3 linked regions of the Rattus norvegicus genome follow. The protein of the gene in region 2 interacts with the protein of the main gene of each other region in a pairwise test. Links are inferred from orthologs where the notes say so. Each region holds a gene or a part of one and is shown on either strand. Other genes may lie near its edges. The genes, in order: Bmerb1, Rapgef4 and Swap70.

Region 1 (4,276 bases), on a different chromosome or scaffold from region 2:
ATGCTTACATGTAAACAAAAATTCCAAAATGCTTGCTTAGAGACAGGAATTAAGATGCCAAAACTTGTCAGAGTTGAGAATCTAAAGTGGGCCTCTGGATTCCCACTTCAAGATTTCAAATGTGAGTAGCTTAAAGAGATGGGGGTTGTTGGGAATCTGTGCCAAGGCACATAAGAAACTAATCTGGTACTGAAACAAGAAGCAAGTCTCAGAATCTTGGAGGCTTTGGACAAAGAGGATCAAGGCACCTATAGCCAGGACTCAGAAGTACAAAATTTTCAGGAACTTGTGTTGTTTAAAGTGAATTCTTACCTCAGTTTTCCCTACATGCTTGAATTTGGTCCCAGTTTAAAAAAAATGGGAAAATGAGAAGGAACTGAATGTGTTGGCACACACCTGGGTTCCAATGCTTGAGAGGACAGGCAGAAAAATTCAAGGTCATCCTTGGCTACAGAGAGCTTGAGGCCAGACTAGATTATATGAGACCATGGTGGGGGAGGGGGACAGGCAGAGAAAGATGTGGCAGGGAGAGAGGAGAGAATGCTTTAAGGGACTGCTTAACATTTCAGTTTGTTTTTGGTTTCTGTTTTGAGACAGGATCTTACTTTGTGGCCCTGGCTGGCCTAGAACTCACAGAGCTATGCCCAATATTGCAGTTTGAACTCACAGTCTTGCTCTATGCAGTTGAATGGAAAGGATGAAAGTGGTTCCCTCTACAGAGGAACCACTGAAACATAGCTGTGTCCTGAGAACTTACCTGAGCTTTGCACACACCATCTTATCAATAGTCATGCTGTAAAGAAAGCCACGTGGTAGATGATATTATTATCCCCATTTTCAAAGAGCAAAGCTAGAGGACAGAAACACACCTTATCACAAAGCGCAGAGCCCTAGTCAAACCAGGGATTCCTTGACTCCTTGGCTTCTCCTCCATGGAGACCCAACTGTCTATAAAGCATTGTGGACTGCAGGGACCAACATGGCCAATATCTGCTTATAAAATTACTGACCATTTTTTGAAACAAACCCAGGAAGGTTCTTAAAACTGTGAAGCAGTAAACCTTCATGAAAAATGTATGGAGTTCAACTAATCTGGGTCTGAATCCTGGTCCTATCATTTTCTTCTGTGTTGCCTAGCAAGCCTCCACCTCATCCATGCAAAAGGCATCACAATGCCACACAAGGTTGTAGCAGGGATAAATGAGAGGTGTTTCTGAAGTTTTCAGGACATGGCAATCTAACAATACAAGGCAGCCATGGCTGTTATTATTTTGAGCTTGTAAACCACAGATTTGCAACCTCTAGATTACCTCAAAGTGCCAAAGCCAAAGGGTTTAGGAAGGATGAAGCAAGGGAAAAGATCTGGGTGCTTTTAAGGAAAAAGAAAATGTAAGAAAGAAAGAGGTTGGAAGCATTAGAACACCCATCAGAGCAGGACTTGAACTTGATATCCAAACACAATATAGCTTAGTTATTGAGTTCATAGTTACAAGAATGGAGAAAACACACACACACACACACACACACACACACACACACACACACACACTTTCTCCTACGTGAGGATAGGAAAAGACCTTATTTACAATACTTTAAGTACATGTAACTCAGGGGCTGCTGCAAGGGAAGAGCACTAAGCCCAGAGACCCAGTCAGAGCAGGTAGCTGCAGGGGCCCTAAGAAAGCAAAAGGGCTTTTCTCCAGTTCTGAAGGCTATACCAGGGCTGCTGGGCAAGTCATACCAGAACAGGAGGCAGGGTGGAGGACATTGGGAAGCCCCTAGAATCGTAGGGACATCAGTGGCTTTAGACTCTTCAGATAGCCTCCACTGTTCGCAGAGTTTCAAGTATTGTGTCCAGCAAATTGAAAGCAAAAGTCTTGGATTCATTTAGAGATGTTTGTTGATACCAAAACACCTAAGAGAGAACCGGTGATTGCAGAGGTCTGCTTCAAAACCACCTCCAAGAGCTGAACCAAACCAAACTGGATCATTGAGTCAAGGGCTAACAGAGGTGGGGAGGAGGGACGACAGAGCGCTAACATTGCCCTGGCTTGCTCTTTCACCTCTCCTCTGACCTGGGAGGAGGTGGGAAGATGCTGGGATTTCAGCTATGCCCTGAACCTCAAGACATAAAGAGGATTCTGACACTCCCCCATCTCTGTATGTGGGCGCTTTCCAAGCTGCCCTTGGCTCCTGTGCCCTCAATCATCCCAACACTCCAGCATCCCTCCTCCTGGGATGCGGGAAAGGTGGTCCTTCTCAAAAGCAGCCTCCAATTGCTTGATCTTGGACTCCTTAGTCCAGCTCAGCTGGATTCCTAGCTTAGCTGCCTCGGGATTTCCAAAGGAGCCTCCGGAGCAGCCCAGCCCTGGAGGGTCCTCTCTTTTGTTTGTAGGGAGAATATTGCTACTGTGCAACACTGGAAGCCCTGCTGCGGGGGCGCTTCCCCAGTCTGCTCGCCCGCGTTCTGGTCTGCTCTAGGGGGCCTCAGTTCAGCAAGAGAGTCCCCAACTGTCCCCACCCGTTCCCTGCCCGAACACTCACTTCCCAGTCCCTCCGCTTTCCATGCTGTCTCCTCCACCGCCCCATAGCGCCTCAGAGGCTTCTCGGCTTCCAGATGAACAGACAGAGATTGCTTTAACTCCATTGTTGATCCCCGCGAGCAGGTCCAGGGGTCCGTTTCACTCCATCCCTGCTGAAGGCTGCAGGGAGGAAGGCGGCTCAGAATGGCAGTATTTTAAGGGGCAGGGCGTTGCTGAGGAAGCTGCTCCATCTCTTCAATCTCCAGCACCCGAAAACGCCCAACTGGTACCCAGGATGGGGGAGGGATGCATAACACATGCGCAATGGAGGCTGGAGGGGGGAGGAGGTTTGGGGACTGGGTAGGGAGAAAGAGGGACAGATGATAAACTCTCTAGAGCAACAAAAGCAAAAACAACTAAAATAAAATCACCCCCAAATGAAGCAAGAATAAGGCACCTGCCCACATTGAAGCCAGTAGATAAGCTTTGTGTGGATGGATCTAGCACTGTGGGTGTCTTGGGATCTGTTAGAGGGCTGGTAGGTTTCAAGAACGTATTTGTGGATGATGATCCTTCTTTGTGGACAAGTCCAAGTGTGGACTGCTGCTTTTGGGTTCTGTGTTGTTTGCATTTATGTACATGATTTTAATATAAAAGGGGGGTGGACAGCAGCCACCCTGTGTGTGTGTGTGTGTGTGTGTGTGTGTGTGTGTGTGTGTGTGTGTGTGTATGTGTGTGGGCGCGTGTGTGCGTGTGTGTGTGTGTACAAGAACAAGTGAAGCAAAAATATTTTGTATATATGGCCTACAAAGCTGTTCAGAACACTGATCTTTACAAACCTAGAAAATAATTATAGTGACCAAACATAGCAGCAATAAAAAAAAAGTGTCAGGACAGGCAACTGTGCTCAATTGGTTCAACATTCACAGCCCAAGCATGAGGACCCAAGTCCGATCTACAGGACAGAGCAGATGTTAAAAGAGCAGGGACAGCAATGTACACAGTGCCAGGAGTAAAAGCAGGAACCTCAGGGCTTGCTTGCTCCACAATACCTTATACCAACTTCTGACCTACACATGCACACTTTTTTGGTTTTAATATAAAGTTAGGGGATAAGAAAGCATCTCAGTTGGCAGAATGCTTGCATAATGTGCACAAAGCCTTGGATCCTAGCCCTAGCACTACATAAACCAGGTGTGCGATCCTAGCATACAAGAAGAGGCAGGAGGATCTGAAATTCAAATTCATCCTTGGATACATAGGGCATTTGTGTGTAGCAGACCATGTCTCAAATGAATAAATGAATGGATGAATGAATGAATGAATGAATGAATGAATGAAGTATAGCTATTGATAAAACCCAATACTACTTTTTGAATTACTGCTAAACATAGAACATTTCCCAATATTTCTGTGAAACCTAGCACTTCACTCCCCCCTGCTTTACAGAAGACAGAATTAAAGTGTGCAGAGAGATCACTTACCCATAGCTCCAAACTGCCAGGGTAGCTCATCAGCGCCTGAATCTGGCTAAACTATATGAATTTGGATTCTGCCTCTTATTGTCCTGATTTCCTTGACTGTGGTTATATTTAGAGAGCCTAAAACATATGTATGTGCATGAGCTGGGGTGCATGGGGGAGGTTTATGTGAATGTGAGTACTCTTGTGAGCCACCAGACATGACAGCTAGAAACCAGACTTGGGCCATCTGCGAAAGCTGTGAATGCTCTGTCCTGCCGAGCCATCTCTGCA
Region 2 (4,319 bases):
ATAAGACAGGATACAGTGTTGAATGTAGGGCTCATCATCTTGGCTAGACTGGCTGGCCAATGAGCCCCTGTCTATGCTCCCCCATGGCTGGGTCAGCAGATGTTTGCTGCAATGCCAGGCTTTCTGCACAGGTGGCTGGCAACTCTGATATCTGTACAGCAGACATTTTACTGACTGTGCTAGGTCCATCGACTCTCTCTTCTATTTCCAATCTCTGGGCTCCTCTTTATTTCAGATATCCAGACTCCTGGTCATTTGGCTCGTGCAAACGTTGGAACTATATTTCTCAGCTAAACTTACTATATGATCCCATCATCATAGTCCCAAATACCCCTTCACTGTGTTGGTCCTTCTCTACTTGTGCACACTTGGAAATGTCCATGATACAAGATTTAGAAAATGGAGCATCCCTTTGTGGGGAGGAAAGGTTAGTCTATTGCTATACCTGTGTGCCTTCTTTCCCCAACCTGCTCCTCTGCCTGGCCTGACCTTCTTATACTCTGTCTTTGACAGAATAACCCTCAGCCTCTCCTGTCCAGGCCTGATTCTGCATTTCCAAAGCACTTTACACATCCTTGTTAAAGCATTTATCACTGGACTGCAGTTACAGTTGCCTAGCTACCCCACCACCACACCCTCAGCCCCTCCCAGCCAAGAAGCACCTTTCGTCTTTTTTACGCCTCGATGCCTAGCACAGTGCCTGGAACAGAAGGCAGCACAGGGAGTTCCCCAGACAATTTTCATCCCCACTCTCGGCCTTCACTCTCTCATTTTAAAAATTTAACAGACTACATTTAAAATTGCAACTTCAAAATGTGCCCCTCCTACTGGCTTGCAATGAAAGCGCTCCTCCTAAATGACTCTTCTGAGGAATTCTGGGAGCGAGGCCACAGAATAGACAAGAAGGTCTTCACACTGAGGAAATAAAACATACGCAGGGCACTTCCTAACTTCCAAAGCACTAGGAAGCTTTTTCCTCCCTTCTGCTGGGGGTGAGCCAGAGACACTCATTTTTCAAACTCAGGAAGCAAAAGTGATGAAGTACAAGATCAGAACTGGTGGGAACTCTGAGCCTAAATCATCCTTAGCTTATCCACCTGAATTTCAGTAACATGAGGCTCAGGAAGGGGAAGGTCTTTCTGCTGTGGTTTTTGGTTTTTTGTCTACCTTTATTTTTGTTTGTTTTTGGTTTTTATTTTTGTGTTTGTGTGGAGTTTTTTTGTTTTTGTTTTTGGTTTTTTTTTTTTTGCCCATTATGAACGGTGGCATTAAACTGTGGCAACATGTCCTAAAAATCCATTCTGAATACAGCCATGTAGGCAGAACACCCTGTGAACTCCACTCACACTTCTGCTACTCTGTGACTTTGCCGTGAGTACTCACTGACTAAAGGATTTCCAGTGAATTACTGACTGTTCAAAAACTGTCCGATATGCACTTCTGCAAAGAGAAGTATGTGGCTTCCTACCCAAAGTGATCCCTCACGAGGAAGCACTATTCATAGGTTAAGTGTAAGCTCCTGGTTATCTCTTGTTTTATAGCTCATTTTTCCTAAAGTATTAAATTTAGATTACTGATCACATTAGCAGGCCCTCGGCTTAAACATGCCTTTCATTCCTCCACAGAATTCTCTATGACTTAACCGTCTCTTCAACTGTTGGACTGTTTACTGCATATAATCTCTCTAATATTAGAACATACCATTTTAGTCGGAAATGGGGCAACGCCTGCCAAAAATATTCTTGCTGCCGTGTAGTAGCTAAAAGTCAGGATTATTTATCACATTAAGTTATCCAAATCGGATACATTTAGCTCTTTTCAGTTAGTTAATATCTTTTCATCAAAGGCCTACCATAGCAGAACATGCATAGCAGGCCACTCTTAAGATTCTCAAGTTTGATCCAGTCACAAATCCGTTCATTGAAAAAATTTTCAATATGGCAGAGCCCAAAATATGTCCCACAAATGCAAATTCTGATATCACGCAGATTGCTGCAAGATATGAATCACTGGCCTTTGGCACCGAACTCTGAGATTCAGAGGCAGTTCACTCAGCAAGACATTTTGCTTGTTTCTTCAAAGTTCAGATGCCTCACCTTTTTCCTTAGGGTAATAAACTGTAATTGCTAACATACTGTGTAATGTTTACTGTTAAATTTGCAATTTGGACAAACAGAAAATTACACCGTTAGAGCCTGGGAACAACTGCAATGGGTTGTCACCCAGGGCGCCTTCATCAGAGGCCGGCCAGAGTCAGTACTCTACGGTTTAAATTCCTCTTTAGAGTGAGGGTCTTTTCTGCAGAAGATTAAGACGAAGAAAACCACCTCCCGGGTGACCTTCCTCACACAGACCTTGAGAGAGCGCCTGGGGAAGAGAGCTGTGAATTTCAGCAAGGGACTTGACAGCTCCACTGAGTCCCTCACACTTGGTTTTCCTTAAACAAAAAAAGGTGACTCTGCACCTGCATGCATAGCCCCCTTCTCCCCGCCCCTCCTGAAAACTTAAATGACATTCTCCCTGAGGGTCTGGACAGCCTGAAGCCCGCATGCATGTACCCTCCCTGGTCTTAATGCCATTGGAAACCACCCACCCACCCACGAGTGGAGCGTGGAGTCTCAGCGGGGAGGAAGGGGACCAGGGCAGGCTGGCGCCTTGTCCCCCACAGCGCCGCATTCTGTTCCTGGCACGTGGAATGCTCTCCCGCAGGTGGCACCCCACGAGTGACCCCCTGCAACCCAGATCCCGCACCCCACCCCCCGTACCTTTTATCCAGGCAGGCGATCCACTCGGCCGAGGACGGAGAGTGTGCAGCGTGCGCAGCAACCATGTTGGGCAGCAGCGCACGGTGGCCCCGGGCCGCGGCCACCTCCCGCGCGCCTCCCGGCGGGCTCCCGCGGCCTGCGGGGCGGGGACCGAGGGGCGGGCCAGGCGCGAGGCCCGCGCTGCACTGCGGCGCCCGCGTGGGAGCCCCGCCGCCCCGCCCGCCCGCCAGGAGCGGCGACCCCAGGACACCTGCGGCAGGTGCCCGGCTCAGTCAAGCCCGCGTCTACCCTCACCTCCGGGGGTGGGGGGTGGGGGTCTGCTGCCGGTGCCACCCGGGTGCGCGTTGGGAGGGGATGTCAGACTCTATAAATTTTTCGTACGGCAAATGCCACTAAAATGGCTGCTGCCTCTCCGTTTCCTTAGAAACCCATTAGTCCTCCTCGGTAGCTGTCAAAACTTGCTAGCTGCTCCTGGCTCACCTTTACGGTCTCCCATTTAAATAGGGATGAGAGAGGGCAGGGCTGGGAAGACTGGCAATGAGGTGGGGGTGGAGGACACCATGATCTCGTTGTGGACCCCAAAGGGTAAATGATTCTGAAGGTTGAGGGGCGTTGGGGGCTGGGAAGGACAGAAAGAGACCGTGTGGTCATGGTCTGAGGCAAAAGGACCCAGGAGACCAGAGGATAATAAGGGGGTGCAAACTGAAGTCACCGGCCTTGAACCTCGGACTTGCTTGGGCTCCATGACCCAAGCATGACAAAATGAAACAATTAAGAATGGGATATCCCTGAATCCCAAGCAGAATTAGGGGTTCAGGTCTGGAAGCCAAGTTCCTGGGTGCTCCATGAACTCAGGCCGAGTGCTGAGGGACGCCACAACTGCCTGCCTCCCGTAGGTGCTCGCTGTGAATGTTATGCCTAGAAGTTGTTCAGTTAGACTCTGCCAAAAAACAAAATAATTTACAAAGACCGTTTTTCAGGAATGTGGGGACAAGTTAAATCGGTTGGACTCCTACCAAGTGCCGTTTTGATATTCAATACATTTAGGAGTAGGTATGGGTGGAACGAACAGTGCTTTACCCTCTGCTCATCCATACTGTCCCCACACACGCTCCCCCTTTTAGGGCCGATGCAGAGAACCTGGGGAGCAGGAAACAGCCTGTGCCTTCTTTCTGGGATGCTTTTGTTCTCATACAACAACCTTGACCTTAAATCTCTCTCCAGAAAATTTTCCATTTCCCCATGTTCAATAGACAGTATCTGGTTTCAGACCTGCAAACAATTGCTTTCAGTAGCACCTCCCTGCACGGGGCTTGTCCCTCAGCTCAGTTTCATTCTGTTACTCTCTATTGCTTACCATAAATATCACTTACCATACTGTACCGCGCTAAGATTTCCAACGATGTCATCTTACAGGGTGTGAAGGAGACGTGTCTTCTAAATATTTTTGTTTATAAAGATATCAGCACCATTGCATTGGGACATTTCAAGGTTACTGAATGCTTGCTCCAAATGCCTCAGAGAATCCTTAGAGGTGAGGAGTCAGAGGGGGGA
Region 3 (3,645 bases), on a different chromosome or scaffold from region 2:
CTGCAGATACTGCTCCAGTTCAGAGGACTTCTGGGCAACCTGCTCCTCCATTTGCTGTCTGATCTGGAGGGATGAGAGGAGTGTGGTTTTGCTTAAATTGGGGTGACCGTCCCCAGGGCGAGGTTCCCACCGCACCTCTGCCTTTCAGCTAAGGGTGTAGGAAAAGGAATGTACAAACAGCATCCGTACTAGGAATCCAAGAAAATGAACTGCGAGCCAGCACTCACTCCCTCTGTGTGCTGTCCTTTTACTGTATATTTGTATTCAAGTCTAGAAAAAGTGTAACTTCTCTTTAGATTCTTTTCTGTCTTAAAGTCAGAAACCTCTTTTCAGATCTTAAGAAGAATGAACCTTTGCCCAGGCAGAGCAGCTTATGAGCTGCAGGCCCTACAGCCTCTACTCCTTCCCCACCCCTGGGCGCCAGTATACTCAACAAGTGCATGGCTTTCCCCTCTGGATTGAAGAGGCTTTAATCCCTGTCTTCAAAAACACAAAGACAGGGCTGGGGTTCAGCTTACTGGTAGAGTGTTTACTTCACATGTGTGCCCAGTACCCTGACACACACTGTCACACATTGGTGTACTTCTCTGCACCTTAGAATTATGTCACTAGCGTTAGCTCCCTGTGTCTGTGAGTCCTGAGAGCTCACAGAATAACCTGTGCAGGGAGCACACACCAATCACAATCACACTAGTGCTCAGAGAGACAGCAGGGAGGGAGGGCAGCTGGACATCACATACATCACATGCGCCTTCCTGAACACACGCAGGAACCTTGCCTCTAAGAACAAGTGACTAACACCAGATCGCGTTCAGACGCAGGGCCCAGCACAGCAGCACTCCATGAGAGACCTGTGCTCCGGTAACTGCCTAGCTCCAGAAAGCAACTGGACCTTGGTGTGGTCTGAACAGCAAACGGAGCTCAGAGCTGTGTTCACCTTGCTCATTACGGAGGAGAAATGCTGTGTGTTGAGGTGTCCTCTCAAACAGCTAGTGACTGCCCATACTACAAAGCTTTTGAGAATGAAAAGGTCCTGGTTGCCCCAGGATGACAGAGACATCTCAAAGCAAATGAGGACATGTAACCATGCTGACTAAGCACTCCTCACCCCACCACACACAATTCTGCTTTAGGGGTGTGGCAAACAAGGTGCCCATCCTCTTCCTCCACCTCTCAAATACACAGAAGATGCTTAAAGAATAGTCACAAACAAGCGCACGACTCCCCAGTCGCCACCACAAGGCACAGCAAAGCCAGGGTGAGGTAGCAGCCAGGCCTTCCTGAGCTGATCGGCCATTCTGACTTACCAGCTTCTCCCGCTCCAACTCTGTGCTGAACCTGGTCTGTAGCTCTACCTGAGTCTGCAGGCGCTTCTTTTCCTCGTCTGCGGCACGAGATGCTGCTTCCTCCAGTTTCTAATCAATCAATCAATCAACCAATCAATCAGAAACCCATTCCCAAAAAAAGCAAAACTGTTACAGTGGAAGAGAAAGTCTTGCTTAAGCATGTAACAAAACCATACGCTCAATAAAACAGAACTAAGTCAAAGCCGTGAGACACACTGGAATTCCATCCAGTCTGCCCAGTCAGCATATAAAACAAATCAGGTATGAATGCTTGAGTATAAACACTGTACACAGAGAATCTGAGGAGGCCACTGAAACATAACCATGTGCAACTACGCTCACACAGTTTGACCAAGTTCCGGAGCTTTCTATACAGTGCTGTCTCCTAGCACGCTATTCCTTACGTCTGTAACCAGAGTTCAGCTTCCAGGTAGGTGACACTGACAGCTTCCTCAGCACCCACACCCATCCTCAACCCCTCCAAGACCAACTGGTTTCAAAAAAACAAAACATATTAAACTCTGCAGGCCATGCCATCGCATATTCATCTAGGAAAACTCTGGAGTTGAGACTGTAGCTGTGCAGTAGGGTGCCTGCCTAGCAAGCCACGAGGCCCCACAGTTGATCCCCTCCACCCTCAAAGCAAATCACAAACAAACAAAAACACAGAAAACAACAACAAAAGATAATCAACTGGACCTTAGGACACAGACACTGGGGCATTTCAGGCACTCCCTCCCCTCCCCCAGGCAAGAAGGAGTGCTCCTGGCAGATGAAAATGAGACAAGGGCGCCCTCTGTCCTCTGCTCACAGCTCAGTTTACAGTAAGGGAGGAGCAGCTGCTGGGTTTTCATGAAGCTTCCCCAGGGTGGGGTCAAGGGCACTGGCAGGCAGAGAAGACAGGTCTGACCACCCTGGTCTCAACTCACTTGGGCAAAAGGTCCATGGAGAGAAGGAAGTAAAAGTGACAGAGGCTGTGCCCTCTGCTTGGTGGCAGAGGATCTTAAAGCAGGACTGTGGATGGCTCCAAGTCTGTGCTGCTGACTCCACCCAAGCTCACGAAACTTGCAATCCTCCTGCTTCAGCCTTCCAAGTGCTGGGGTTGTAGGTCTGTGCCATCACACACCCAGCCTTCCAGGGAAGTTTTGCTCAAGGAGAAAAGCAGGCTCTGCAGCCCTCACCGAACCTAACTTTGTTATGTGAGGCGTACAAACTAGATTCGGGCAGGGATTAGGAGTAGCCCCACCAGGAAGCAGCCAACCAGATTAGTTGAGCCTGACAGAAGCAGGAAGGTCTGGCTAGGCAGAGCCCTCTTTAAGACTGGCCTTGAGAGGAATGGCTCTGAAGTTAACCTCAGACTGTAAGCATTCCTAGGGTTCTGCAGAAAACATTATCAACCATCCAGAAACCAGTGAACTCTGGCAGGCAGTCAGGGGTGAGTGCACTGAAAGTGTACAGTAATAGGGAGGGGAGGGGAGCCTGCGGAGGGAGGGTCATTCCAGGCGACTGTGGCTGTGCACAGCCCAGCTTGCAGCCCTGAGGAGCAGACTGAAGGCCTCAAGGGTCCAGGAAATAGTCCAGCCAAGTCACTAAATAAATAACCACACAATGACAAGCTTCGGGTAGGGGCATCAGGATCAGTATCCATGGTTCCCACACCACCTTATCTTCTAAAAACATCCAGTTTTCAACTAAAAAAAGAGTATGAGAAACAGGAAAGTGTAACCCCTATGTGGGAAAACAGTCAACAGGCACTGCCTTTGAAGCAGCCCAGGAGGCATATCTACAAAGCCATTACAGTAAATATACTATAAAGAATGAAAGGAAGTCATGGTTAAAGACATAATGGAAGGAATAGCAAAATCCCACACGTGGAGAAAGCATATAGATAAAGAGGCTCCTTTAAGAGCCAAGTGGAGATTGCTGAGCTGTAATGTTCAAGAACTGACTGAAAAGTCCTCTAGAGGGCCGGGTAGAGCAAGAGGACAGTATGCACAGCATTAGGAGGCCAGGACGTGGTATGCCGAGCACGCCTATGATTCCTAACGTGGAGGCTGGAAACGGAAAGATCAGAAGTTCAAGGCCAACATCCCTAAGTAGAGCGCTGAAGGCTAGCCTGGGCTACAAGATCTTATTTCAAAAAATAATCAACCGGAGGGGCTCAACGGTCTACTTGGGCTACTACAAGACCTGCACTAAAGAGATACACAGAAATTATACCATCAGAAGGACAGAAAACCAAGCAAAATAAACAGCTCCAGAGAATCTAGGCACTTTTATACACAATATTCTGTTCAAC

What was found.
Region 1: the proteins of Rapgef4 (region 2) and Bmerb1 interact in binary tests that used the Homo sapiens proteins (3 or more experiments, as listed by UniProt). The link is inferred for Rattus norvegicus from reciprocal best matches to the Homo sapiens genes RAPGEF4 and BMERB1.
Region 3: the proteins of Rapgef4 (region 2) and Swap70 interact in a two-hybrid assay, tested with the Homo sapiens proteins (2 studies listed by BioGRID and IntAct). The link is inferred for Rattus norvegicus from reciprocal best matches to the Homo sapiens genes RAPGEF4 and SWAP70.

What each region holds. Positions count from the first base shown.
Region 1 is NC_086028.1:2,450,903-2,455,178, forward strand, and holds the start of Bmerb1 (bMERB domain-containing protein 1), read right to left. Parts: upstream 2,827-4,276; 5' UTR 2,648-2,826; coding exon 2,545-2,647; intron 1-2,544.
Region 2 is NC_086021.1:77,215,629-77,219,947, reverse strand, and holds the start of Rapgef4 (rap guanine nucleotide exchange factor 4), read right to left. Parts: upstream 2,902-4,319; 5' UTR 2,831-2,901; coding exon 2,766-2,830; intron 1-2,765.
Region 3 is NC_086019.1:173,750,877-173,754,521, reverse strand, and holds part of Swap70 (switch-associated protein 70), read right to left. Parts: intron 1,416-3,645; coding exon 1,308-1,415; intron 64-1,307; coding exon 1-63.